3 linked regions of the Notamacropus eugenii genome follow. The protein of the gene in region 3 interacts with the protein of the main gene of each other region in a pairwise test. Links are inferred from orthologs where the notes say so. Each region holds a gene or a part of one and is shown on either strand. Other genes may lie near its edges.

Region 1 (8,618 bases), on a different chromosome or scaffold from region 3:
TATCAATGACCTCATTATACATAACTAGAAGTGAAATCTCTGGGTCAAAGGAAAGAGTATGGACATTTTAGTCACTTTATTTGCATAATTCCGAATTGTTTTCTAAGATGATTGAACTAAATCACAGCTCGATCAACAATGCACTAGTGTGAATATCAGGCCTGCACAATGTACAGGCCAAAGGCTTCTTGAAGCCTGCCAAAGCAGCCAGAAGGCAGGATGTTATGCAGACCTGTTTTACATAATCTATATTTTTCTTGGGCAATCCTTTGGCAACCACAAGCCGCTGCTGGCTGTAAGCAGCCCAAGTTGTGCAGGCCTGTTTACATCCTCTTCATTTATCCCAAACTGCCCAACATCCTTTGGAGGGCAGCGCTCTAGCCATAAGCAATCTGTGACGTTGTGCAGGCCTAATGTATATCTTCCCATAACCTATCCACCATGGACCATTCCTTTCTTTTGTCAACTTTGCCAACTTTTCAGATTTTGAAAACTCAGGATTGTTTTGATTTGCTTTTTTCTTATTTCTCTTAATGTTCTGGAGCATTCTTTCATATGGTTGTTAATATCTTGCTATTCTTTTGAGAACAGTTCATATCTACATATATATATGGACATGGTTTTGCATATATACATATATGTATGTGTGTGTATGTGCGTGTGTGTGTGTGTATCTTGGATACCCAACCCTCATCTGATAAATTTGATACAAAGATTTTACCCCAGTTGTTTGCTTCCGTTCTTATTCTAAGTCGTGGATTTTGTTTGTGCAGAATTTTTCAAATTTCACATAATAAAAATTATCTATTTTACCTTTTGTAATTTCCTCTATCCCTTGTTTAGCTAAACTAGGCCCAGTTTTAAGGAAAGTCCCTGTGATAGCACCAGGATTCCTTCACTTCAAAATGGTAGGAGTTGGTTTTCCCTAAAAGGCAACAAAACTGTTTCAGAAGTTCAAACAGACACCTGCTGGGTCATTGCAGGGATGGTTCCTGTGTGGTCTAGTAGAGTCAAGCTGAGTATCATAGGTTTACAGGACTTGTATGGAGTTAGATAAATGTATTAAAGCATCCAGATGGGGATTGCCCTTTGTCCCTTTTTAAGTGGCTGTAGTGGGGAGTTATTTGCACATGGTCCCATAAATGTTAATCTTCAGCACAGCTAGCACAGATGGGAATCTGCCAGGGAAAAGATGAAGTTCCTAAAGGAAATGGGTTTGATAGATTGGATTTATTCATGTTGCTTCCCTGACCCCCCCTCCGCTTGACCTGCCACACCCTATGACTAGCCCTCCTCTGGGAAAATTAGATTCTGACTTCTGGGTAAAGGCTCAGCAGAATGTATTCAGACTTTAGCTATTTGTCTCTAATCGTAGAATTACACAGGTGTGAGCTGATCAACTGAAATTTGAACAAGATATTGGGACAGCTATGATTTTGCAAATGCTGCCGTTAATGGGAATAGGCACTCTGAGAATGTAGGAAGGAGTCACAGAGCCCTGCTAGGTGGGCAGAGGGCAAGGACTCTCTGACTCTCTGACTCTCTCTCTCTCTCTCTCTCTCTCTCTCTCTCTCTCTCTCTCTTTCTCTCTCTCTCTCTCTCTCTCTCTCTCTGTCTTTCTCTCTCAGAGGGATCTTTGGGTGTGGTTCCTAAAATATGGGCCCTGGCCATCATGGTGCTTATAAGATTGTACAAAAAAATTCATCACCAGGACACTAAAAGCCTTTCAGCCACACCCAAGCCTAAACTCTCCTCTAAAGGTCCATTTGGGTCATTCAGGGAAGGCTACAGAGGACAAATCATGGAGGGAAAGGTATCATAGTCTCTTGGGAATAAGTATTTGTACAGGCTCTTTCATTATCCTCTATATATTCTATTGTAGGTATGGCTAAATTGAAACTGTTAGTTACCCAAACTCTCCCATTTAGTTAGCACCAACCAATTTCAAATCCTCAGAAGGGGTGAAAGGTATTTCTTCTCTAATGATGGAGATGAAGGAAGCTGGAGTACTTCATTATACAAATATCCCCTACAGCAATCCTGTCTCTTGAGGAAGACTGATAGCACCTGGCAGTTCATGGTGGACTGCACAGAGCTAAACCAAGTCATCATAACCACCAATACAGCTGATCCTGACCTCATCAATGTTGTAGATCAGGAAACCCAGGCAGCCTAGACCTAGAGTGAGTGAGGTGGGGTTATTGACTTCATTAGTGCTGGTTTCTCTGTTCCTGTGGCTGAGACTAGTCAGGAATAGTCTGTTTTGACCTGGGAAGGCACCCAGTATACCTTCATCATCCTTCCCCACACAGGCCTACCTGAAATCTTCCTCCTGCTGCCACATTAGGGTAGGCAGAGACTGTCCTTTCATGAAGGCATTAGTTTACACCACTACAATGATGACATAATGTTGACTGGGTGTTTCACTGGTAAATACACAGGTAACACCAATTAAGCCAGGTGTCAGATGACACAGTAGGGCTGATAGCAGGTATTCTGGCACAGGTTCACTCTTGATCCAGGCAGACAGGAAGACAGGAATGGAGTCATAATAAAGAGTTGAATAAGCTTACTTTGTTCCAGTTTACTCTTCTCAAAGGGAGTTTGCTGATAATGGGAGCACCATCTCCTATAGCATTCCCTAATCACCCTTCTCACAGGGGTTGGCAAGAAGGGGAGATGGCTTGCCATATGTTTTGATGGGATCAGTCGAGACAGGCACAGCATTCCAGCTTGTGCACTCCCCTAAATCCTCCAAGCCTCAGTAGGGGCCTGCTGAGGCAGGTACATGCATTCGTCTATGCATTACCCAAATCACAAATTCCCACTTACTGACCAGTGCCCACTTGCTTTATAGGGCAATGGACAAAGAAGGTATATTGCCAGCAACAGCCTCACAGATTAACTTTAGCAATATTGTCATTCAGTGCAAGCATAGTAAGTATCACATTATGTCATTCCCATCTCTCACTGCACAGTCAAAGTGGTAGAGATGTTTATAATTCATGAGCCTCAGAAATATTATCTAACACCTGTGAACTAGAGGCTGTTATGGCCATGGAGCCTGGGAACTAAACCCTAAAAAGGAATAACAAAAATCCACCTTACATACACACAAAAATTCACCTTACTTATTATACTGGACCAGATGACAACATGTTGACAAAGGCCCTAGATCAGTTGGTGGCTCATATGAAGGACATGGGGTGGAAATCAACCCTAAGAAAATCCTAGCTCCAGCCTACTCAGTCAAGATTTTGGGAATATGGTAGAAAAGAGTAAAGTGTAAAAAGATTGAGAAAATAGGAAGGAACCAGGTTGTAAAGAACTTCAAGTGACAGAGAACAAATTTGTTTTGTTCTGTGAAGTTTGGATTCAGTCAAAGGATCACCCTTGAGGACTAGAGGACATGTGACATTGAGGTCACAGGCTTCCCCAACCCTGCACTAGAGTTTATTAGTGGTAGGCATGTGTGTGACATTATCACATCTGTGCTTTAGAAAAATCACTTGGGTAGCTAAGTGGAAGAAAGATTGGAGCATGGAGAGACTTGAGGCAGGGAGGCCAGTTAGAAGGTATTGCAGTATTCCAGATGATTGGTGAACACCTGAACTTGGGTGGTAGCTTTGTGAATGGAAATAAGCTGTCATATATGAGAGATGTCACTGTAGAAGTCACAAGATTTGACAATAGATTGGATGCATAGGATAAGAGAGAGTATGGAGTTGAGGATGACACTGAGGTCAGTAACCTGACTAACAGAAAGGTTGGTGGTATTCCCTACAATAATAAGGGAGTTTGGAAGAAGGAGGGGTTTGAGGGAAGAAGGTAATGAATATTGTTTGGTATGTGTGGATTTTGAGATAATTATCCAGGATGAAATGCCAAAAAGGCAGTTAGTGATGCAGGACTGGAGCTCAGTAGAGAGACTAGAGCTGGATATATAGACCTAAGAATCATCTTCATAGAGATGATAATTGAATCCTGTGACCCTGCATCTCCAAATAGATTAATACTATAGGATTTTAGAGTAAGAAAGAACCTCAGAGAGCAGAGAACCTTTGAGGCCAGGGACTTAACAGCTCTTTGTTTCCCTGGGTCTAGTCCACTATCTTCCCCACAACAGATCTTCAATGTCTATTTGTTATCAAGGATAACAATATTTTGGCACCAAAATCTGTGTGATGGCCATCTCAGCATAAGGCAATTTACTGATGAGCAACAAGAATGTGCTTATAGCACATACAGATCCCAACCATAGTAGTACATTTATTGTAACCATCAAGAACTCTCTGCAGGAGGATACTACAGAAAGCCAATAGTTAAATGAGCAGAGTATTAATCACATGTAATTACTCATTTTTCCTTTCCATGATGAATGTGTCAGCATTATGCTTGACCACTGGTATTTCCTCTCTTGAATTATTAGTCTTGGTATTGGTGATGCATATTAAATAAAATGCTCTTGGCTCTGGGGAGAGAAATATTAATACCTGGGTATAATGTTGCCAGTTCTGCAGTGATCAAAGACATAAGAAGATGAGGATACAACTTGATCTCTCTCTATATCTTTCCCTCTCCCTTTGCCCCTGCCCCAAATCCTCACTTTGTCAATGTTGTACAGAAGAAAATGTTCTAGATTTAGAGTCTAAGGACTTGAGTTCAAATTCTTACAACCTGTCTGACCAAATAATGCCTCAGTTTCCTCAGCTGTAACACAAGAGGATTATTGGACTACACGACCACAGAGGTCTCTTATGTCTCCGAATTCAGAATCCTGTGATCCTATTTGTAGCTCAAAGCATTTCCTCATCAAAGCATTTCCTCATTCTTTTACTGTTTTCTTAACATAAACAGACTACAACAGGATTCCTGGAATACAGGGCAGATCCTCTAGAATCTACTCCAGAAGTTAGCAAGAGGCTAGAAGGAAAGTTGGGAACCAGGTCCTTGGAGAGATTACATAAGGGTCTGGGAAATAAACCCTTGAGCTTTGGAAAGTACAGATGCTCAACTCTTAGAGGGGAGTCATCATTGAAAGGAAGAAAGCAAAGATTATGGGGAAAATTACAGCTGAATTTGAGGAAGATGGTAGGGGGCTGCCTTAATTTCACCCAGTTGCCTTGTCTGCCCCATTGGGTTGTTTCTGTACAATCTTCTATCTCTCCTGGCTCAGGAAAGACCCACCCTTTTTCTCCTCCCTCTTTCTTCACTTATCATTATAGTTCAGGGGTTGAATTCAGACTGCCACCCCACTTTGGATGCCTCCTCCCTTCAAATTCTTTCTTTGCCCTTCCTATTTTTGCTCAGACACACAGACTGAACTGGAGAAAGCAAGGTGAGACACCCAGAATACAGCCAAAGCCTGAAGTACTAGTGGAGAGGCTACCCTTAGAGAGAAATAGACAGGAATTGATGAGAGGTGGAGGGCAATACATTTGTGGGATTTGAAGAAAAGACAAGGTAGTGGAGATGTTAGGGGTGGGGAGCAGAGGTCAAGGGGAAAAGTGACCTTAGCTTTCCCTCTTTCTTCAGGCAGGGAGATGGCTCTTCTCCAGTCAAATCAGGATGTCATTTCCTCAGCATTGCAGGAGTATAGGAAATTGCTGGATCAACAGGTGAGAGAGATCCTATCTTAAGGACCAAGGGATACAAGACAACTTGACTTTTGGAGGAAAAGCGGGGGTTTGATGGAAAAATTAAGGGATAGAAAATGTAGCTTCTGGGAGGTATGCAGTGACTGATGGGAAGGTTGAGTGCCTGGAGGTCAGGACATTGGAATAGTAACTTCATTTTCCCCTCCTTGCCAGGTTTTCACAGAACCTGTAATCTCTGAAGAAAACATGATCACCATCGTGGATGACTGGATAAAGTTCTACCTTTCATATTTCTCTAAAAAGATGATGGGGGATCAACAGGAACAGGAGAGAGCCATGCAAAAACTGCAAGAGGAGCTTCAGACTTCTTCCATCCCCTTTCTGGACAAGTACAGAGCCTTCCTAAAAGCCCTTTGAGTTCCCATGTCTCCCATCCCTGTTCTAGGCTTTCATTTCTAGTATATCCCCTAAGCTGAGCACCTCTGCTAATATTTTCCTCTGGCAACCTTCTGTATCTTGATTTCCCCTGACCCTAAAATTTATACCTCAATAAATATACACATGGGAACATCTGACATTAGCATTCTTCTTTCAACAAGTCTGTCCCCTAGATCTATGCATAGATCTATGGATGGGATTTAGGAGGGAAGGGCAGTACAAAGATTAGTCTCATTCGTATGTCTTCTGGGAAGTCTAATGGACTTCCATGGGTTCATTTTTCCCAGAATGAGACAATGTCTTCAGTACTTTCAGCCCTTCTGTCTTTTCTTATTACTCCCCTCACCTAGGTCTCCCCAGGACCATGCCTCCATCCTTTCCCCTTTTCTTCTGTTGGATTTCCTGGTTCACATCTTGGATTTTTCTTCTTCTGGCATCTACCTAGGTCAGAGTCAGCCATATTCTGTGATCATAACAGCAGGCATCAGGCAGACAGGAAATGGAAGACCAAGGAGGAATGAGGGTGATCAGAAGGGAGAGAGAAAGAAAAGGAGAGGGAAGATGTCTAGGGTGGGTAGGTGGGAATAGGAGAAGAGGTGGTAGTTTGTACATCCAGGAAGAGTCCCACTCCAGCTGGCCTTGAACTGCCTCAGTTAGCTTATCTTCTTTACAATGGAACTAAGAGTTCATTTTGTAACTGGTGACATTCCACTCAGGCTGAGCAAAGACAGGCTCTTTTCTGCCAATGCCCATGCTAAGCCCAGGAGGTCCTGCTCCCTCAACACTTTTTACCTGGATGCCCCTATTCATAGATCATAGAATGTCAGAGCTGTAAGGAGGCTTAGAGATTATCTGTTCCCATTTACCCCACCCTTTTAAGGATAAGGAAATTGAATCCCAGAGAGAGGGACTGACTTGCTCAGAAATATAATTGGGCATAGGGGCAATGATTAACAAACAGGAAGGAATGTTGTTTCCCCTAAAAGACATTTGTGGCTGCCAGTGAAAGGGCTTCCCAAAGGGTTCTTATCGGATGGTCTTAGAAGCCTAGGGTGCCTGGTAATGCGTGTTACCCCCTATTTCAGCCTCGGTCTTTTTTTTTTAATCTGAAACAGACATATGGAATCTAGCAGTTACCATGTTAAATTACAGATACTTTAAAGACTATGTACCATAGTGGAAAGCTGAGGTGTTGAGAGAACTGAGCTCCAGTCCAGAATCTGCCACTAGACAGCAGTGTGCCCTTGCGCAAGTCACTGTGTCCCTCTACCCACCTCCTCAACTCACCCCCAAATTCTGGTTGTCAGAATGATTTTGCATATGAACAGACCTGGTTCTTTTGTTCTTCTGCTGAAAATTCTCCAGTAATATTACAGATTAAGGAATATTCAAATTCATTTGCTTGACCTCTTGTATCCTGACTTCACTTTTACCTTTCCATCCTTATTTAACCCTATTTTTCTTCAGATATTCCATATTCCAATGACAATGGAGTATTCTCTGCCCCTTGGGCTGAAGGTACTTCTCTGCTTTGGTCTGAGTGTTTCCTTTGTTTGCATAGAGTGGGATTGCCCTCCCTCTACTCCTTGATGTATTGAATGTCTACCATCCCTCTAAGTCCAAAATGCTGCTGTCCTTGGGATCCAGGTCTATGAAGACCTTCCTTCTTGGATCAAAGGTGAATTTCTTGAGAGCAGACACTGGTCTCTAGGTGTGTTAGTGGGAGAGTTGTGTCCTTTAAGGGAAAAGCTTTATAACTACTGTGTTTGATATGGCCTCTTGAGAAAATGCAAAGAATTGAGTCTACTGGCTAATTAAGGGGCTAGGGCCAAAGTCCAGAAGAGGATCATTTGGCATTTAGACATTGTGGAAGGAGGTCCAAGAGACTGGAGTAGCACGTAAAAGAGGAGGAAAAAATTGGTTTAGATGGGAAATGACCAAGAAGGAACTTAATAATGGAAATGAAAAAGAAGGGGTGGTGTTACACAGGAAGAAGTGGGGAATCTTATTAGTCATTGTAGGGTCCCCTAAGATCAGAGGGTGTCATGTTCCACACAACCACCAGATGGTGAAGCAAGACCACGGCTGAACTCTCAGACAGCCACTAGAAAGGGGGGGGATGGTATGAAACTTCATAGAAATTTAGGACATTAGTGCTAACAGGAAATTTAAAGGTCATGTAATACAACTTTCTCATTTTATAAGGTGAGAGTACTGAGGTCATTAACTTGCCCAAGATCATACACCCAATTAGTAACAGAGACTTTGATTGTGTTCTCTGTAAAATGAATTCTTGGGGATAAAATAGGAGAGACAATGTAGTATATAATATGATGAGCGCTGGGTTTGGAGCCAGAAGACTAAGCTTTAATCATAGCCCTGTCCAGGCCTCAATTTCCTCGTATGTAAAATGGATGCATTGTGCTAAGTGATTTCGAAAGTCCCTTCCAGATCCTAGGGTCTTGTGGAATGCACAAATAAAGTAATGCAAAATAGACCATGATAAGAGCAAGGGAGAGATCTATACAAAGTGCTGTAAGACAACTTTGGCACAGCAAAGCCCTATAGCTAGGGTGATGGTGA
Region 2 (10,027 bases), about 49 Mb from region 3:
ATCTTCCCAATGACTGGAGCTATACAAAAGTGGGGTGGGCTGCCTCAGGAAGTAGTGACAACTGGAGACCCACTTCTAAAGTACACTGGTGATTCTTTTTCATGTTTGGGGTGGACTAGAACTGGCCTCTGAGGTTCCTTCCCTTTCAGCCGGTATATGATTCTGTGAGTGGGTGATGAGCTGGTGAAAGCAGCAAGTGTGGACCTCTTATAAGCACTGTCTGTTTGCTTAGCAGTGTCTGGCATGATAGTCAGCACTTAACAAATGTTTGTTGACTAACAGACTCAAGAATAGATATGGCAGGTCCTGCTATCAAGGAGTTTACAATCTAGGGGATTTAGAAGCAAATATGTACTTTCTGTGTATTTTGTGCTACTACTTACTAAACTCTTATTTGTACTGTAGTTATGTATGTCCATGGATGTGCTGGTAAATGTTTAATAATTAGCTCCTGGGGAGAGAGGAAAACAGAAACTTATAAGTTTAACAGTAGAATATAATATTAACATTTTTCCCCACCCCTGGTCTAGACTCTGCTGAGTCCTGATTTGCCAATTTCCAAAGTAAAACCGGGTGGTGTAATGGATAGAGAACTGGGCTTAGAATCAGGAAGCTTCATCTTCATAAGTTCAAATCCAGCTGTGTAACTCTGGGCAAGCCATTTAGCCCTGTTTGCCCCAGTTCTTTACCTGTAAAACGAGCTAGAGAAGGAAATGGCCAGCCACTCCAGTGTCTTTGCCAAGAAAACCCTAAATGGGATCATAGAGCTGAATACAACTGAAAGGACTGAACAACAAACTGCAAATGCTCACGCTGAAAATTTAACAATGGTGCTCTCAAAAGCTAGTATGAACTGGCTCCAGTCTGTTCCTACTGGGTGCCCATATCTGAGCTACCTACTTGTATCATAAGAAAAGAGATTCAGAGTTGAGAGTCACCCTGGGGATCATCTATTCCAACTCCCTCTTTTTACAGATGAAGAAGCGAAGGCCACAATGGTTAAATGGTTTGCCCAACGTCAGACAAGTCAAAAGGGGCTGGGTCAGAGTCTGAACCCAGGTCTTCTGATTCCAGATCCAGTACTCTTTCCCAGACATCACACTGATCCTTAAAGGCAGGAACTATGTCATTCCTCTCCCTGTCTCTGTCTCTCTGTGTCTGTGTCTCTGTCTCTGTCTTTGTCTGTCTGTGTGTGTGTCTCTCTCTCCAACAGCACCCAACAGAGTGCCTTACAAAAGGCAGGTGCTTAATAAAAGTTTGTATAAGTTGATGCTGGTGGCAATGGGACCTTGTAGCTGGGCAACAGCAGAAGTGGGCCAGGCTGTGTGTGGAACAAGCAGGTCAGGCTATACTTGGGATAAAAATAGCCTATTTATGCAGGAGCTTTGATTCTCCATAGAATCACAGGATGTCAGAATAGGGGTGGGGTAGGGGAGGGAACTTAGCATGTTGATTATTAGAGTTGGGCTCAATTAATCAATCAATAAACACTTATTAAGAGCCTACTATGTGCCAGGAATTATTCTAAGTGCAAGTGATACAAAAAGAGGCAAAAGACACTCCCTTCCCTCCAGGTGCTCACAATCTAATTGGATGAACCTTAAAATGCAGGATGTCCAAACTAGACAGAAGATAAACTCACACGTATGTAGTGCTTTAAGGTTTGCAGATTGCTTAACGTACATTATCTCATTTAACCATAGAATTTCAAGATGGGAGGGACCTAAGACACCATTTATTCCCACCTCTTCCTTTTACAGATAGGGAAACTGAGACCCAGGGAGGCAGTAATTTACTTGCCCAAGGTCACACAATGGTAGAGGTGGGACTAGTTTAGTATTAGTACACGTTTAGTATTAGTCTTATGGGATCAGGCTTAGTATTCCTTTCCACTGCTCTAACTTTGGGAATTAAAGTATGTTTTCTGACTCTTTCTGTACTTGGATCCACAAAATACTGGAAAAATATTCTACTTTGAAGAAATTGATAAAAGTAAAGCCTGTGGGAATATGGAAGAAAAAAATTTTTTTAATTTCCCCCACCATTACATCATCATCAAAACTACCATTATCATTTATTTTTAAGGCACATACTCATGCATATTTTATACATGTAGATAAACTATGTCTCACACATACACATTAGCTAACTGACCAAAAAAATGCATCATTCTTCTTGTGTGCAGTCATATTTGGTTGGATACCAATGTTCAGCTGTTCACCAAATCACAAACAGAATCTCACTCTTCCTCCCATGTGTCTCACAGTCTCAGTCTGTGTCTGTCTGTGCCTGTCTCTCTCAGCCATGGTGTAAAACACAATCATTCCAAGTCACAGAGCTTAGTAGTCATTGGGGACTGGTGTCAAGGTCACAGCCCTGCCCCTACAGCATCACACTGTGTCATTTAAGATTTTTCTGGCCCCACTCAGTCTGCATAACCCACAGTGCTATACATTCACACAGGGCAACATCGACTCATTCAGTGTGATCCATACAATGTCACATACTCAGTATCACTGGCATGCAGAGTAAATATTAACACGCCATCCTTCACACATACATACACCATGCCCAGCACACAGGGATGACACAAACATAATTAATACATGGTCTTAATTCAGGCTTTGGTTTAGACTTGTGATTTCATCAGTGTAGGGATCTCCCAGTAAGGAAATTCACTATACCAATGCAGATCAGATCTGTAACTGCTTTGTGTCTTAATTTTAGAAAATTTCCTGGGGCACTAATGGGTTAAGTGATTCACCCAGGGTCACCCAGGCAAATCCCTGAGGGATTTGAAGTCAGGTCTTTCTGACTGTCTTGTTCTCTATCTACCACGCCACACTGCCTCTCCTTTATACAGAGCTGGCTAAGAGTCTCAGTCCTGCAGGAGCTCACAGCCCATCATCTGGGTTTCTCTCCTTCATCTATTTGTTCTCTTTCATACAGTGTGAAACCATAGTGTCTCAGGGTCCTGTGTCTCACACAGGAGCCCAGTCCACTTTACTGAGACAATGTTACACATGCTACCTCGCAGCACCAGGCTTTCTACAATATCACATGCTGTATCTCAGGAGTGACACAGAGTTCCTTGGCACATCCTGGGTCTCAAAATACACACCCCTAGCTCAAGAATAGTAACAGTTGGTTTTTCTATAGTGTTTTAAGGGTGGCAAAATGCTGTACACAGTCTCATTTGATACACTCAGTCGGTATCACACACTGGGAGTGTCCTAAGCAGCCACAGGGGCTGTGAGTTAGTGTCCAAAGTGTTCCCTCTCACACAAATACACAGTGTCACACACGGAGTGTCCTAAGTAGCCACAGGATCGGTGGGTCAGGATCCCGTGCGCTTTCACACACAGGCGCACACACACACACACACACGCACACGCGCGCGCACACACATGCACACTCACACGCACACACACTCTCACACACACACTCACACTCACACACACACACTCACCCCAGCCGGCAGCTCCTACCTGCGCAGGTCCCGCAGACGGGCCTCCTCACCCCGCACGTAGCCTTCCAGCAGCCGCAGCAGCTCCCGCTCGGGACCCAGAGCCCGCTCCACACTCTGCAGCGCCGAGAACTTGTCCTCCCCGCGGCCCCGGGGCGGGCCGCCCCCCGCCTCCGTGGCCCGAACCCCAGCCCCCAGCTCCAGGGCGGGCAGCACCGGTAGCACCAGCAGCACCAGCGCCGCCGGGGGGCCCATGCCGCCAGGGGCTGCACTGCCCTCCCAGCGCTCTCTTTCCTCCCTCTGCTCCCCTGCACTCTCCGGGCTCCCTCCTCACATCTCTCCTCCTCTGCTCCTTGCCTCTTTCTTTCCCCTCTCCTCTCCTCCCCTTTCTCTGCTCCACTCCCTCCTTCCCTCTTCTACAGCCTCTCTACATCCCCTGCCTCTCCTTTCACACTTTCCCTTGTTCTTTCCTCTGCTTTTTCACCTCCACCACTTCATACATTCATCCTCCCCATCTCGCGGTCTGCTTTCTCCCTTTCTCTGCTCTCTTTCTTCCTTTCTTCCTTAGTTCCCTTCCCCCTTCCCTTCCTCTTACCATATAGCTCTGCCCCTTCCCCGCCAGCCCCCCTTCCCCTTCTGCCTGTTTCCTCCCCCACTTCTTATATATACATTTATCTTCCTGTTTTCCCTCTCGTCCTCTCCCCTACACCACTCTTCCCTCAGCTCTTTCCCCCTTATCGTTCTTCAACTCTTTCTCTTGTCTTTCTTCTCTTTACCCCACACCCTTCTTTTCTCTTGAGTTCCCATCACTTTGGTTTTACCCTCCCACCTGGCTATATCCCCTTCCCCCTTTTCCCATTAGGCTTTCTTCCTTTCCCATTGCTCCTTAAACCTCAACTCTGAAATTGCAGAGTGCAGAGGGAGCCTTGGCTGGGAGACAGGAGATCCGAATTCTGATCCCAGCTCTGCAGCCAGCTCTTTGTCCAGCCCTGCACAAATCCTTTCCTCCACCCCGGCTTCATTTTCCTCCTGGGTAAAATAAGGGGGTTGGAATAAACGATCTCTTCAGGTTCCTTCCAGGCCTGACATCGAGGCCCCTTACAGTTCTGAACATCCTAAATCCTCTTTAAGGAGTCATTCCAGCCTTTTCTCTCTCTAATGCCAGATGATAGGCAATGTGGTGCAAGGCACTAGATTTGGAGTCAGAAAGAGACCTGGGCTCTAATCCCAGTTCTAACATTGACTAGCTGCGGGCCCATGAGCCAGTCACACAATCTGGAGCTTCTCTGTCCTTACCTATAAAATGGGGACAAGTTATACTTGGAGTACCTGCCTTCTGAAAAAGGTTATAAAGAAAGTAAACTCTGTAAATCTTGAAATTATATCTAAATGAGAGTAGAAAAGAATATTAGGTTTAGAGCCAAAGTTAAACTTGGAGTCAAACTACCTTTGAAACTTTGGGCATTCTGAGCCCCAGTTTCCTCATCTTTGGCATAGGAGGATTGGATTACATAACCTCTAAGGTCCCTTCCAGCTTCAAGTCTGCATGGGTCTGTATGACAGCAAGATCCCCTCCAGTCCTGACAGTGATCCTGTATATTGTCTGGTAGTAAGCTTCTCCCTTAGAGAGGACTGGCATCTACAGGAAAAAAAAGTCCTAGGTACAGGACGAAAAGAACTTTCTTGGTGGTGTTCTCGGCCTGTCCTAGTAACTAACCTATTTAGTGTTTTTCAGTCTTCACTGGAGAGGACAGTGAAGGACCATGGAATGTCAGAGCTAGAAAGACCCTTAGAGATCATCAAATCCAAACCCTTCATTTTTACAGAGGTGGAAACTGAGGCAGATGTGAAGGAATCTTCTTAAAGTCACACAGAAGAATCAGAAGCATAGTCAGGGCTAGGACTTCTGGCCTAAGGCACTTGCCATTCTCTGGCTTCTTTCCTAAGTACTTCCTCAGAGGAAAGCTTCTAGTTAGAAAATACCTTCTTTGCTAGAGTCAGGATTTTGCCCGACTTTTTTTTTCTTTTCCTCTTTCTTCTCCAGTGAGAACTCAAGAGCCACGCTAAAGTAACTTCATCTTATCTACCTTATACTCCTGTTTGTCAGGGAAGGTCATAGGAACCTTGAGATTTAACTGGAGGAAGCAACTAATCCAGCCTTGTTATTTTACAGATGAGAAAAATGCCTGGAGAGAAGTAACTTGCTCAATGTTGAACAAGTGGTAGGACCTGGATGCCAACCCAGGTCTTCTGATTCCACATCCAGAACTCTTTTGACAGTTCCATGTTGCCATTTCTAAACAAAAAGACCAGCAGGGGGAAAAGTGATTCAGTCATCTCTAACTTTCCGACCCCGCCTAGGATTTTCTTGGCAAAGATAATGGAGTGCTTTGCCACTTTCTTCTCCAGTTCATTTTGCAGATGAGGAAACTGAGGCAAACAGGGTTAAGTGACTTGCCCAGTGTCACAGGCCAGATTTGAACTCACAAAAAGGAGTCTTCCTGACTCCAGGCCTAGCACTCTCTCCACTGTGCCATCTTACTGCCCAGAAGATAGCACTCCTAGCCCTTATTTTGGAGAAAAATAAACCAAATTTGCAGGGAATAGGTGGGGAAGAAAGTTCTTGGAGAGGGTAGTGTTTAGGTTGACAAGACTCTGGTTCTATGTTTCTAATGCCAAGAGTGCCCCCTGGTGGAGATTTGGAATGTATGGCCTTCTTGACAATTTTCTCTTATTTCCTCAGTTTCCCATGGTGACACTTTTCTAGTATTGTATCAGAACTGCCCTACCATGTTTCACTGAAGATTGCACCATTTGTCTTTTGTTTAACAGTGAAGACTGATACCTGGAACCTATTTCTAGGTGAGGCAATTTAATTTTCTATTTACTGAGCCTGTGCCTTGTGGTTAATATTGTGCTGAGTAGGGGAAAAGACAAGACATAAAAGTCTTTTGTCTGCCATTAAGCACTTCCACTTCTGCTGTGGAGACATGAAGCTGGTCTCCTAAAAAGTACTAAGAGGCAGGGAGTATAGTGGAAAGAGCACTGAATTTGGAATAAGCCCTGGGTTCCCATCCCAGCTGATACTAGCTATTTATTTGACTTTGGGCAAGTTACTTTGCCTGAGCCTCAATTTATTCATTTATAAAATGGGAACAATACTTTTACTATACCTCACTAGCTCTCTTTAAGACTCAGCTCAGGAACTACCTCTTTAAACAAGGGGTCTTTCCTAGTAATCTCCCCAAATCTCTCTCTCTCTCTCTCTCTCTCACACACACACACACACACACACACACACACACACACACACACACACACACACACACCTTACTTAGATGAGGATGTGGTAAATCCTACTAGTAGAATGGAAGCCCCCTGAAGGCAATAATTTTTTTCACTTTCACTTTTTTCTTTGTATCCCCAGATCTTAGCACGGTGTTTAGCACATAGTAGGAACTTAAAAAATATTTAGATCAAATAAAGATAAAATTTAGATAAAATAAAGATCAAATTAAATGATGTAAGACCTCCCCCCACCTCAGTTCCATAGCACTTTATGGTTTATGATGTGAAGTTATTATTCATTGTTATCATTCCTAGATCGGAAACCTGGGCATCTGGGTTTTGCCACTAACACTGTGTAGTTCCTAATTTTTACAGAAACTCAGACCTACAGAGGAAAAGGGACCTGTGCATAGTCTCAGGGTATACTTGCCCACAAACTCAGAGGACACCAAAAGATACCATGTAATAAAGTGCTTCATTTATTCAAAAAACCTTTGTTGAGAAACATTGCGTAGAGAGCCCTGACCTTGGCCTGGGGTGGGGGGGAGTGGGGAGAATAAGATGAACAGATGTAGTTCCTGCCCTAAGTTCTTAAATTCTATCAAGAAAGATGATAATATTTCCAAAGAACTTGGTTAATTTTTAAATTTGAACTTCCTTTTGGTTTTTGTACTTGACAAATATAAAACTTTAGTATTTCCATATATTTATAAAAAAGAAAAAAGGGTTGTATATGAAGCCACAATTCTCTATTACATGTAGCTTCATTTTTAAAAGAACACATGTAGTAAATTTATGTTAGTTTCAGAGTTGTCCTCCCTGTCTTCTGAACTTCCCTCTGGAACTTTGTAAATCTTCTAGCATGATCCTGAGAGGCAGGTAGTATAAATATTTCCCATTTGGACAGATGAGGAATGTAGGCTTAGAAAAGACAAATGCCTCAATTTTAATTTAACTCAATAGCTACACAGTGTCTACTATGTGCAAAGCCCTGTGATAGGCAGGAAAGAGACAAAGATGAAAAACCAACTCTGCCTTCATCTTCCTCCAGTGCTGAGTACAAGAAAGTTCTGCACACATGCTGAATGAATCTCTTTCAACCTTAAAAAACAAAAGAGGAAAACTGAGGCCCAGGGATAGGGACCAATTTACCCTCATTTGGGGAGGTCTCTTTAAAATGATTGAAATCCTTCCCTTTCATTTGTTTTCAGTGACCGTAACATTGTATACAGTACTCATATATTTGTCAGTGGATGATAGATGAAATTGAAAGGAACCAGAGAAGTCGTAACACTTGGAGTCTTTGACAGGCCTGCTACCTGACCTTTCACAAATTATTTTCCCTCTCTGGGTCTGTTTCTTCCACTTAAAAAATGGAGAGGCGAGGAGTGGGGGGTGGGGGGGAGAGACAGAGACATAGAGACAAAGACACAGAGGCAGAGACACAGAGAGCAGAGACAGAGATAGACTGAGACAGAGAAAGAAAGAGCGACAGACAGAGAGAGAGATACTAAAGTTGCTAATGCTTTGTCTCCTAAAAGATGCTTTCTACCTCTGATCTTGAGCCTGAGACATTGATAGGTGGTTGTGTCCACCAGGTGGCAGCAGGAATCTAGGAAGTCTGATCAATTGCAGTAATTAAGTTTACCTTTTACTGCCCCTTCTCTACTTCCCAATTTGCAAAATTTCACTCCAGCTAAAATGATCTACATACACAGTGGTTCCCACCCTCAGCATTACTTTAGACTCCTTTGTGTTTTCAATGCAAAAATCCCCCTAATCAGCTTGTGCTTGACCACTGTAAAATACCCTCCCCAACCCAGCTCATTCCATTACTGGGAGCAAATTTCCATTTCAATTAAACCTAAATTTGCTTTCCCCTTCCCCCACTTAGCCCTAGGTCCCAGAAATATAATAGGCATATGTCTTAAGAGCACTCCAGGTCATAGGGACCCGCACCCCACCCCCAACCAAAGTTAGCAAAGGCAAAATGGCTAGATGGATTCCCTTCAGGCCCCTGAATGGAGCATGGGATCCAGAGCAGTAGTTGGCTACTGGAAGGGAACCCCTCTGGAAGAACCTTTCTGCAGTGGTATGGAGGTGACCCTGGGCTCTCCAAAGGTATGCCAATGGAGCATAAACAATGGCAGGCACTATCAATCTGGAAAGTCTTTGAGTGGATTGTGGTCTCAAAAATAGCCCCGGCAGTGTTATTTTATCATCAGAAAGGGTAATGTCTTTTTTTCAGTAAAAGCAGCTCATGAAAACCAGCAGAGGAACAGACTGAAATGTAACAGGGAAATATTTAACAAAATAGAAAAATACAATAGAACATAATATCACATTTGAAAACTAAGTCCATATGCTACCCACTGGGATCCTTATATACACATTAGTGGCCCCATTTTTACGTGAATTTGACACTAGAGCTTTTTATCAGTGAAGGGAGTTATACTGACAAATTCATGAATCCTTTAAGTATTGAAGGTCTGAATAGTGGGGAAAAAAACTAGAATAGGCTTTGACAGTCATTATGTTCTTATGTTATTATGTTCTTCGGAACATGATGTAGTCTATATTTTAGGGAATGGGAACAGTGCCCGTGTCATTTCTTTGACCTTCTTTGGGCAAGCATAGGGTTGGGGAGGGGGAGGAAGAAAGTAAATCATTGGGTCGGAATGGCCAGGACATCCCAAAACCTATCACGCCACCATCAGCAGCTTTTTGATCAGCTGAGATTACTTGGTTTAGAGAAAGGAATGTGGTCCAGCATGCCCAAATCAGCAGGGAAGTCCTGGTCTAGAAAACAGCATTATGTTTGAGCCACAGAAGGAAGATGGATGTTCCAAGTCTAAAAAGAATCATCTGCTAATCTTGGCATGGGTAGCAGTTAAAAATGGGATTAAAAGACTCAGCTTTCAATCTGAATAGTCTTCTTTTACACATTTCTTTCTTTTTTTCTTTTTTTTGTTAATTTCTTTTTAGTTTTGTACATTCACTTCCCCTAAGTTTAAAAATTTTCTCCCCTTCCCTCCCCACTAGCTCCCCAACATGACCTGCAATCTGATATAGGCTCAACATATACATTTCTATTAAACATATTTTCACATATAGAGAAATATATATAGCTATTTCCACATGTATAGAAGAATTACAATGAATGGGAGAAACTATGAGAAAGAAAAAACAAAACAAAAAAAAGAAAATAGTCTGCTTTACTCTGCATTCAGACCCCATAGTTCTTTCTCTGGATGTTGATGGCATTTTCCATCA
Region 3 (10,757 bases):
CCACAGACTCTTTATCCAGTCTAAGAATATTCAAATAAAAGGATCATGGATTTGGAGGTGGGAGGGCCTTTGGGGGCCAACTAATCAATGCAGCATTATTAAGCTCCTCCTCAGTGCCAGGCACCGTGCTGGGTGCTGAGGATACAACCCTTGCTCTTGAGGACTGAATAAAGAAGTTTAAACCCCTCATTTTACAGATAAGGAAATGGAGATGCAGAGAGGGCCAGAAATTGCCCAATATCACACAGGGGAGTGGGCATCTGAGCCCAGGCCCTCCCACTCCAAATCTTAATCCAACCCAACATCCCCATATAATACATACCCTACTTTTAACTAGTTACTATGTTAGGATGCAAAAACAAATTAAAAAAAAAAATCCTTAACCTGGAGACACATTCTACATAGATCCAAATACCATACAAACCAGTATTCAGACCCTATACAACACAACCTCATACCACACAGAGACACAGATGGATCCCAAACTCATACCACACCAGAAAGATTCTATACATTCACCCCCTACCCCTATTCACCAACAACTATCAAGAGCTTAAGGGGGCTGGTGGTAACAGGTAAGCTGAACAAGTAACAGGGTCAGGAGCCCCTCAGAGTTAGGAATAACCACTAGTCACTAAACTGTGACTTGCCAGGCTTTCTCTCAGAAACTCTTCCCCTGACCTCCAGGTAGCCCCAAACCCAGCTTGTCTTAGGTCCAAGTACAGAACTGGACTTGACCTTGGCTGTGTCAGGGATTGTTAAGAGTGGGGGAAGCTGCCAGAGATTAGAAGTCCCCAGAATCCAAGGCCACCCTAGCTATTCCCCTCTTCTTTCAGTCCAGGTCAACACAGATCTCACTGGGTAAGAGCAGAAAGAAAGGAAACTCAGAACCCCAAATCTCAGACACCTGCTGGATAACCTTGTCCAAATTCACAACCCTGAATCTATGATCCTATGATCCTTCCCTCTCTGACTGTTTTCCCATAGGTAAAGTAAGGAAAGCATTGCACTAACTCCCCAAATCAGGAGGGTTTCATTCTAAAAACCCTCAAGAAAATTCCTCCTGTCTTCAGTTACAAAAAATTATTGTTAAACTACATAGCAACCCACTCAGATTTACAATGGGTCAGCTGAAAGGTTGTAGTTCATTGGCTTTCACTTTACTGAGAAGAAAACTGAGATCCTGACATGGGAAGGAAACTGGCCAAGGTCATAGGAAGTCAGTGGCAGAACCAATATTAGAATCCAGGTCTCCTGACTCCTAGTCTCAGGCTCTTTGTCTAGTATATAGGTTGTTTCCAAACCACTCATTTCCTTTCCCCTACAGTTGACCCCTGACCTTTTCCCTCTCCAGACACCAGGGCTTTTTGTTCCAGCTAGCTAAGAGGAAAGGCTTAGCCTCTAGTCTGACCCGTTTTCCAGGACCTCCCAGTAACAGTTCCAGGACCACTTTACTCCAAACCCTCTAGCTGGGCCAGAACAGAAATGTTGGGAACTCATTAGACCTTGCTATTTCCCCACATCCTCGCTTGAAAATGGACCGCCCTGACCCCTCCCCAGCAAGCCACCCCATTGCCTTCTCCCTCACTCAGGGGAGTTCCTGCCTGAATCCAAGGCTCAAGAGGCGCTGTCCCCAGCCAGCTCCAGGAAGCACCTTCCCTATGGCTCAGGGCTCTGGCAGGGGCAGTCCCCTGAGTCAGAGGGGTAGGTGAGTCACTGGTTCACCTGAGGTCTAAGCTCACTCACCCCTGGGTCCACCCACTCACTCCAAAGGCCAGGAATTAACTACATTTAGTCCAGGTCCTTGCAGACAAAATAGAGTTGGGGGCAACCCTTCCTGCAGTTGAAGAGGAGAGGATATCTTAGCATCCAGAGTTTTAATGTTTTCAAAGACCTTACGTATAGTCTAACAAGCCTTCAAAGCAAGAAAATTCAGTCTTATAGAGCTTAAATGACTTTTCTGTGGCCACATTAGCTAGTAAATGTAAAAAGTTGCAATTTCAACCCAAGTCTTCCCAACTCCAAGTCTGGAACTCAATCCCTTGTCCATATTTCCTCAGAGAGATAATGGAGTTGGCATGTCCTCACTTGGAACACAAGAGCTCCTATGGGTTCCATATTCTTCTGGACCTAATACCATTTTAGAGATGAGGAAAACTGAGGCCAGAAGAGATGCAAACCTATTCCTCCCTAATGATTTTCACCAGTGAAATGTTGGTGACTTATCCTCCTATAAGAAACGTAACATTCTAGATGTTAGATTTGTGCCTTGGTGATGGAAGAACTGTATACCCATCACTACCAAAAATGTGAGGTGCAGTTAAAGAATGTTTGTTTAACAGACTACAAGCAAAAGCCCTGCCATGTTACCCTTGTGTTTGTAACCAGGATAACCATAAAAACCTCTAATTTGACTACAGGACTGCCAGCAAGGGTCATGACAAATATGCTCATGACCACCATTAAAACAGAGGAAGAGACGAAATGATACCCAGAGTGTGCAAACAGACCTCATGGCTACGTTGCTCCCATCGATGACCACTGGCCTCAGGTTACTGGCTTCCTTGTCCTCAGGGGGTAGAGAGCAAGGGGAGGGTGCCTTTGGGGTTCCTCCACCTCGGGGCACCAGTGGGGGCTCTGTGGGCCCATCCACTGGGGCTTCCCGCTCTGCGGCTGACCCGTGTTTCACCAGCTCACCCAGGACAGTGTTGGTGTCAGCCTGAAGTCCCAGCTTGTGTAGGACCCCATGGATCTCCCCAGATGAGTAGCCTAGTTTCCGGAAAAAGTCCACTTTCATCTGTAGCTCTGTATCATCCAACCCTTCTGGCTGGCCTGTTTCTGGGGTCACCATCACAGTTCTGTTGTGTGGAGAGCCAGGTCGGCTGGGATGGGGGCTTCCCCGCCGTCTGGGAAGGGGTCCCAGGCTGTTGGGCCCCAGAGAGGCATTCTCCTGGACAGCTGAAAGACTCATGGCAGGACTGGTTTGATGGAAAGGGCCCTCACTTCGAGGAGTAAGGACCTCGGGGGACCTCTGGTCCATGTTCATCCTTTTCTTCCTGAAGGCTCAAGCTCCCAGTTCCTTCCAGCTTCTGTGAACCAACCAAGCAGATGCTCACTTAATCAGGGGGGTTAGGACAGAAGAGAGGAGTGGCATTCACTTAGGATTCCTAGGTAGACAAACTAAAGTTGTCCTGAAGTTGGGAGGCCTGGGTTCAAATCTCAGTTCTGTCACTGACTTTTGGTGCAACTTGGGCCAATCACTTCCTAGCTCTGGGCCCACATCTCTAAAAGAAGGAACTAGATGATTTTTTTTCTTAGTTATTCTGTGAAACCAAAACCTCCCTACTCTTGGCCACCATATTGCTAGGAAATTGAGGCCAGAAATGCAAGGTCAAGAAAAGACTCACAAAACCCTGCCTCTCTAACAGTTTGCCCTCCCCAGGGGGCCTCTGAGGCTAAGACCTCTTTGAAATTCTCCCCCTCCCCATTCCGCACCCCCCACCCCTTCAAGTCTCTTCTGATTGGGGGAAGGGAGAGCTCACAGACCACCCCTCCCACCGGTCCAGGGCAGCTGCTTCCAGTTGTACGTCTCCCTCCCCACCCCCTAACTAAGAGACGGGCGAGGGAGGGACCAGATAACCTTGGCAGACCGGGAAGTGGGGGGGGGGTCAAGAAGCCGGACCAAACTGGGGGGCGAATTCCCCCCCCCCAGCCAAGGTCCCGATCTCCGCGTGGCGGGGCAGGGGGGCAGGGGGGGCCACGGACCTGCTCCTTAGATCCGGGCGCCAGACAACGGTCCCAAGGCATTGCCAAGGTCAGGGGGCTCGGGCGCCCGGGACGGGGGACTTTCCCAAAGTGCTGAAGGGGCACAAAAGTACGGGGGAAACTTTGGGGGGAGGTGAGAGCGGGGGAGAGCGAGGAAGAGGGGCCAGGGCGGTCCGGTCCGGGCTACCCCCGCCCGGGGGCTGGGCCCCCTCCCACCCCGCCCCAGGCCCCGAGGCTCCGGCCTGACGGTCTCGGGCTTGCCTCCGGGCCCAGTCCGGGATGGACGGCAGCGGCCCCGCCGCCCCTCCGCGACTCCGGCCCTACTTTCGGGACAACGCGGGCCACGTCGGGGGCCCGAGCCCCGGCCGCCCCGCTGCCCCCGCCCCGCCCGCGCCGGGGCCGTCCTACCCGGCCGTGCGCTGTGCCCAGCAGTGTCTCCATGGGGGTCCGACTCCGGGGCAGGGCTCGTCCCCGGGGCTTTCTACCGCGGGGGGCGGGCAGGTCCCGACAGGTGGCGGCGGCCTCGAAGACGCGGAAAGTCGGAGCGGCGGCGGCGGGGCCCTTTAGGAGGAGGAGGAGAGGGAGGAGGCGGCGGGGGGCCGGGCCGGGCAGAGGTGGGGAGGCGGAAGGCGGAGCGGCCGCAGCCACCGCCCCTTCCTGCTCCTCCCCCCGCTCCGGCCGGCCCGTCTTCCCGGGCCCGCCTCCCGCCTCCCCGAGCCGGCCCGCGGCCCCTCTCCCCGGAGCCAGCCCCAGGGCGGCGCGGGGACTCTCCAGTCCTGGCCGGCCCGGGACTAGCTCCTCCGGGCCGGGGGGCGCGGCGTCCACGTGGGTTTGGGGCCGAGTGGGGAAAGGGAGGGGGCCCAGGGGCAGCGGCCTCTGCCCGCGCCTGGCCTCCCTGCCACGTCCATTGCTTGGGGCCCGGGGAGGTGGGGCGGAAGGGCCAGGCTGACAGGCTGGAGAGAGAGCGCAGAGGACCCGGGGCCAGGGCTTCACCCCTCCGGGCCTCAGGAGCCTGGCGTGCGAAGCGAGGGGACCGGGTCACACCCTCTCTACCCTCGTTCTTGCTCCGAGTTTGTGCTGAGGAGGTGCGGGCACACGTGGGCACCAGGTACCCGCAGGTGCAGAGAGGCGCGCGCGCACAGACAGACACAGACAGACACACACACAGACACAGACAGACACAGACACACAGGCACACACACACACACAGACAGACAGACAGACACACACACACAGACGCAGACAGACACAGACAGACACAGACACACAGACACAGACAGACACAGACACAGACAGACACACAGACAGACACAGACACACAGACACAGACGGACACAGACAGACACAGACACACAGGCACACACACACACACAGACACAGACACAGACACACACACACAGACACACACACAGACAGACACACAGACACACACACAGACACAGACAGACACACACACAGACACACACAGACACACACACACAGACAGACAGACACACACACAGACACACAGGCACACACACAGGTACAGAGACACACAGACACACACACAGACACACACACAGACACAGACACACACACAGACACACACACAGACACACACACACACAGACACACACACAGACACACACAGGCACACACACACACACACACAGACACACACAGACACACACACACACACACACACAGGCACACACACAGACACAGACAGACACAGACACAGACACACACACACACAGACACACACAGACACAGACAGACACACACACAGACACAGACAGACACACACACAGACACAGACACACACAGACACAGACACAGACACAGACACACACAGACACAGACACACAGACACACACACACAGACACAGACACACACACAGACACAGACACACACAGACAGACAGACACACACACGGACACACAGGCACACACACAGGTACACAGACACACACAGACACACACACAGACACACACACACAGACAGACACAGACACACACACAGACACACACACACTCTCCCCATGTGGGCCACATCAGGCTGTTGTGATTATGGAAAAAGCTGGGTCTACCTATTTTTGACATTTCCTAAGTATACGAAGCCAGACACCTGACTTCCTGGAGTCTCCTCTGTCAAAAGGAGGGTCATCATAGTAGCACCTACCTCACAGGATTGTTAGGGACGTTAGTCAAATGAGATAATCTGCATAATATCTAGGCTATCTTTTCTGAGTCTAAAAGTTCCACAGCAATGTCTATTATTATATACACGTGTATGTATGTATGTATGTATATATACATGTGTATCTATGTATATACACACATATACATACACCCTCACTGGCCATCCACAGTACAGGTGACCTGAGTGAGCTGTGACTCGCTGTCAGAGCTATTGCCTGTTCAGAGACATTTATTTCCTCAGACCCCATACAGTTAAATTCAGTCCATTCCCACAAGCATCTGCTCTGCATAAAGCACGGTGTAATACAGACAGAAACATTGATTCCTGCTTTGAAAATGCCAACAATCTCAGGGGCAGGAGAGACCATCCCGTCGTTCCTCTCTATTGAGTAGGCTTTAGGTATGGGCCTTCTCAGGAGTAATGGGGATGGACTCATCTCTCAGCATCCATGTAATTACAGCCTACTGTGTGTGGAGGCCCTGGATTCCACCTGTTGGGGAGACCTAGTCCTTGTCTCCCCAGAGAATTCAAAGCCTTTTAGGGGGAGAAAGTCAGATAATTAAAGAAACATAGAGTTAACCAATCAACCAGTCAACAAACCATTTTTAAGCATTTACTGTATTCTAGGCACTGGGAATACAATGCAAAAGTGAAAAATTCTCTGCCTTTAAGGAGTTCGTAAATAAATATATATTGGGTATTTACAAGGTAAACACACAGGGATTGGGATGGGGAGGAAGCTAACAATATCGTGATATACTAAGTGGACACAGAAAGGCACACACTATAAATATTAGGGAAGGTCACTGGCGGAAGAGCTGACTTTGTGTTGGAGAGATGTTATGAAAGGCTTCCCAGAAGAGCTAAGATTAGAGATGGGGAGGATTTGGAAGACTGGAGAGGAATCAGAAAAAGGAAATCCAGAGGAACTCAAGAGTGCAATGCTTTTGAAAATATAGCAGCCCCTCTGGGTTCCTTCTTTCCAAATTCCACTTGCACTGGTAGTAAATTCTTCATCTTTAGGGGTCTGCACAGGGAAGCTGAATGCTGACTTATTGGGTGATGCTACTGAGGGAAATTCCTTTTCAGGTATGGGTTGGACCTCTGAGGTCCATCAAACTTCTGTGAGAAGCTACTGACTCACTAAGGACTCTCTTCTCCAGGTAAATCAGCCAATAAGTATTTATTAAATATTTGCAGTGTTCTAGGAATTCTGCTATGCGCTGGGGATAAAAAGAAAGAAAAAAGATAATCCCTTCCTTGGGGGAGCCCACAGTCTAATGAAGGTCCCTGAAGATCCTAGTATCCTGGTCCCTCCATTATGAACTCCTGAGGGACTGTGATATGTTAGGTGATACTGGGAATTTACCAGTTCTGCTCTAGGTGGGAGTCTGACTCTCTGCCTGTTTCTTTGCTAAGGGTAGGGAAAATCAAATTCCATTCTGGAGAACCATGCATTGCTCTGGGGAACCCCTGGCTCACATGCAAATGGATTTTGCAACCAGGAAGGCTGGAGCCCAGTTCCAAGTATATCCTGTAGTCAAATGATGCCCTCCAGGTGGCCACCCCCTCCCTCCCTCCCTGCTGCTTCTCACTAACTGTTGGATATCCTTTTCCGGGTGCTGGGTGGAGTCTCCAGAGCTTCAGGAGTGGGAAAACACCTGGGTGAGCAGCTGAGGGGGAGGCCCCAGAAAGCCCTTTTGCCGCTGGCTGGTAGCTCTGGGATTTGGGGTGTAGGCTGATATAAAGGAAGAGTCCCTAGAACCCAGCCTTTCTGGCCCCTTTAGTTTTCTCCCCCACCCCCAGTTTTGAAGTCTGTACTACCTTCTCTCTCCCATCTTTTCCGTTTGGTCAACTCCCTCCTTTTACATATGAGGAACCTCAGACCCAGAAAGATTAAACAATCCGTTCAAGGCCAAAGAATTAATATCAGACTTGAGATGTGAACCAATGCCCAGTTCTAGGCCCAGCTGTCCCAGGAGACCTTCCCTGACCACTGAGCCACCTAACCCATCTCTGTTATCAGCATTCACCTCATAGAATAGTGGATGTCAGCACTGGATGGAATTTTCTAGACTAGAAACCATCTGATGTCATCCTTTCTTTTTATATATGGATCATAGAAGAAAAGTGACTTTCTCTCATATATTATCTCAGCCTAGGGCTCCTGACTCCCAGGTGTGAGATCTTCTCGCTGGATGCTTGATACTGAATCTCAGGACCTGGAGCATTGCAATGCATTCTGTTCTAACACTATGTTATAGGAGGCTGTGGATAAGCTGAAGGACAACTAGGATGGGAAAGAACCTTGATCCTGGTGCAGGCTCCTAAACCCTCCAGTTCTGGAGCCATGAACCAGTCAGTTCTGCCATTTTCCTTTCCGTATCTCAACCCACTCTCTTACGGCCCTGTAACTTTTCTGACCAAAATGCTTTTTCCTTGGTTACCATCCCCTATGTATGCATTCTCTTTCTATTAAAATGTAAGTTTAGTGAAGGTAGGAGTGGTATTTATTTTTGTATTTGTATCCCTAGAGCTATGCACAGTGCTTGGCACATAGTAAGAACTTAATAAAATGTTCTTTTTTTCCTCTCACCCTTCCTTCCTTCCTTCCTTCCTTCCTTCCTTCCTTCCTTCCTTCCTTCCTTCCTTCCTTCCTCCCTCCCTTCCTTCCTCCTTCTCCTTCTTTCCTTCCTTTCTCCTTTTTTTCCTTCCTTCTTTCCTTCCTCCCTTGTCTCTTTCTCTCTGTCTTCAAATACTGGGAGGTAGTATAATATAGGGGACTTGGGTTCACATCCCAACTCTGATACTCTGATCTTTGACAAATCACTTAATCTCCCTGGGCCTCAGTTTCCTTTTCTGTAAAATGTAGGGGTTTATTAGATTGAAAAAGACTGAAATCCTTTTCATCTCTAGGTCTATAGTCATAGATTTAGAGTTGGAAAGGACCTTAGAAGAAGAGGGATTTATCTTGCTCTGCTTGGCCCCAGAAGGCATAACTAAGACCTGTGGGTAGATGTTACAAATAAATTTACTTCCAGGAAAACTTTCCCCACAAAAAGCACTATCCTTAAATGGACTGGGCAACCCTGGAGAGGTAGTTGGTTTCCCCTCTTTGATTATGGCTGAATGACTGCTTATCAGGCAAACTGTGCTGGAATTTCCTTTTTGTTTGGAGATTAGTCTACATTCCTCTAACATGTCTTCCAACTCTTTATGTGATTCTTAGAGGCAGAACCTTTGCCTGGGAAGAAGACCAGGATAGTCTCCCCATCCTATCCCATCCCCTTTAGCTCCATTCAGTGTCTTTTTTCCTGTAGATCAGCCCTTCCAGTCAAGGGAAGGGTTCTGACAATGGAATGACTCATCTTAAGTTAGGAGGAACTGAGGTAGGGTCAGGAGGGGAGGAATTTTTTAGTATACAGCACTTAGGAAGCCTGCCACAGAGTCACAGAATTTGAGAGTTGAAGGGACCTCATGAGGCACATGGCCATCTGGTCCAACCCATACAGGAAAGGAATCCTCGCTATGATGTATCTGAAAAGAGATCCTGCAGTCTTTCCTTGAAGACCTCAGAGGAGGGGCAATCCACTGGTCAGTAAACATTTATGAAGTGCCTACTATGTGCCAGAACCTATGCTAAACACTGCGGGTACAAAAAAGGCAAAAGACCGTCCCTGTCCTTGAATGTAGCCTCCCAATGCAATCTATTTCACTTTTAAACAACTATCATTGTTAGGAAGTCATCCAGCCTCTTTGTAACTTCTCTTCATTGTTCCTAGTGAAGGCCCAGAGAGTGGTCAGTGCATGAGATATGGGGGGAAGAACCTAGAGCCAGAGTGGCTGAGGTAAGAAAGACCCCCAAATCTGAGACCTTTTCAGTTTGAGAAGATGAGGCCTGAGGAAGGAGGAAGATGTTTGTGAAGGGAATGAGGGGGAGATTTGTTAAAAAATGTTGGGAATTAGTTCATGGGGTAGGGAGGAGGGGGACACCCTTGATGTTTACAGAGGTGGCTATGGGGTACAAAGAGACGAGGCTGGGTGTCAGGAGAATGTGAGCTAGTGTCTAGATTGTCACCTTGGGTGGTGTTTTGGATCTCTACCTCAACATGCACTTAGGAAGGCCTGACTTCAAATCTTTCTCAGATGCCTTCTAACTAAGGGTCCCTGGGCAACTCACTCATCCTGTTAAAACCTCAGGTTTCTCATCTCTAAAATGAAGGGGTTAGATTTGATGGCCTCTAAAATCCTTTGTAGTTTTAAATTTATAATCCTATGTCCTTCTTTTTCTGGGCCTCAGTTTTTTTTATATATAAATTGAGGGTTGGATGAGATAGCTTCTAAGCTCCCTGTCATCTGTGACAGCCTATATTCTTTAAAAAATTTTTTTAATTAGTATAAATCATCTTCTCCTATCCCTCCCCATTAAGTGAGAATGAAAGAATAAAAAAAAATCCTGTTACAAACATGTATAGTCAAGAAAAACAAATTTCCTGCATTAGCCACGTCCAAAAAAATATGTCTCATCCTGCACTCTGAGTCTTTCACTGCTCTATCAGGAGGGTAGCATATTTCATCATCAGTCCTCTGGAATCATGGTTGGTCATTATGCTGATCAGGGTTCCTAATTCTTTGGAAGTTACTTGTCTTTACCACACTGTAGTTTTTATATGCATTGTTCCCCTGGTTCTCTTCACTTCACTCTGCATCAGTTTTCATATGTCTTCCCAGGTTTCTCTGAAATCATACCCTTCATTTCTCACAGCACAGTAGAATTTTTACCACATTCATATACCATAAATCATTCACC

What was found.
Region 1: the proteins of ZC3H12A (region 3) and AHSP interact in binary tests that used the Homo sapiens proteins (3 or more experiments, as listed by UniProt). The two-hybrid records come from large-scale screens. The link is inferred for Notamacropus eugenii from reciprocal best matches to the Homo sapiens genes ZC3H12A and AHSP.
Region 2: the proteins of ZC3H12A (region 3) and P4HA3 interact in binary tests that used the Homo sapiens proteins (3 or more experiments, as listed by UniProt). The two-hybrid records come from large-scale screens. The link is inferred for Notamacropus eugenii from reciprocal best matches to the Homo sapiens genes ZC3H12A and P4HA3.

Annotation. Positions count from the first base shown.
Region 1 is NC_092874.1:319,499,327-319,507,944, forward strand, and holds AHSP (alpha-hemoglobin-stabilizing protein), read left to right. Parts: upstream 1-5,230; 5' UTR 5,231-5,338; intron 5,339-5,535; 5' UTR 5,536-5,543; coding exon 5,544-5,618; intron 5,619-5,810; coding exon 5,811-6,014; 3' UTR 6,015-6,172; downstream 6,173-8,618. UniProt on the Homo sapiens protein: Acts as a chaperone to prevent the harmful aggregation of alpha-hemoglobin during normal erythroid cell development. Specifically protects free alpha-hemoglobin from precipitation.
Region 2 is NC_092876.1:130,971,978-130,982,004, reverse strand, and holds the start of P4HA3 (prolyl 4-hydroxylase subunit alpha-3), read right to left. Parts: upstream 4,050-10,027; 5' UTR 3,722-4,049; coding exon 3,489-3,721; intron 1-3,488. UniProt on the Homo sapiens protein: Catalyzes the post-translational formation of 4-hydroxyproline in -Xaa-Pro-Gly- sequences in collagens and other proteins.
Region 3 is NC_092876.1:81,820,993-81,831,749, forward strand, and holds the start of ZC3H12A (endoribonuclease ZC3H12A), read right to left. Parts: upstream 4,390-10,757; 5' UTR 4,174-4,389; intron 3,815-4,173; exon of another isoform or gene 3,509-3,814; intron 3,090-3,508; 5' UTR 3,047-3,089; coding exon 2,511-3,046; intron 1-2,510. UniProt on the Homo sapiens protein: Endoribonuclease involved in various biological functions such as cellular inflammatory response and immune homeostasis, glial differentiation of neuroprogenitor cells, cell death of cardiomyocytes, adipogenesis and angiogenesis.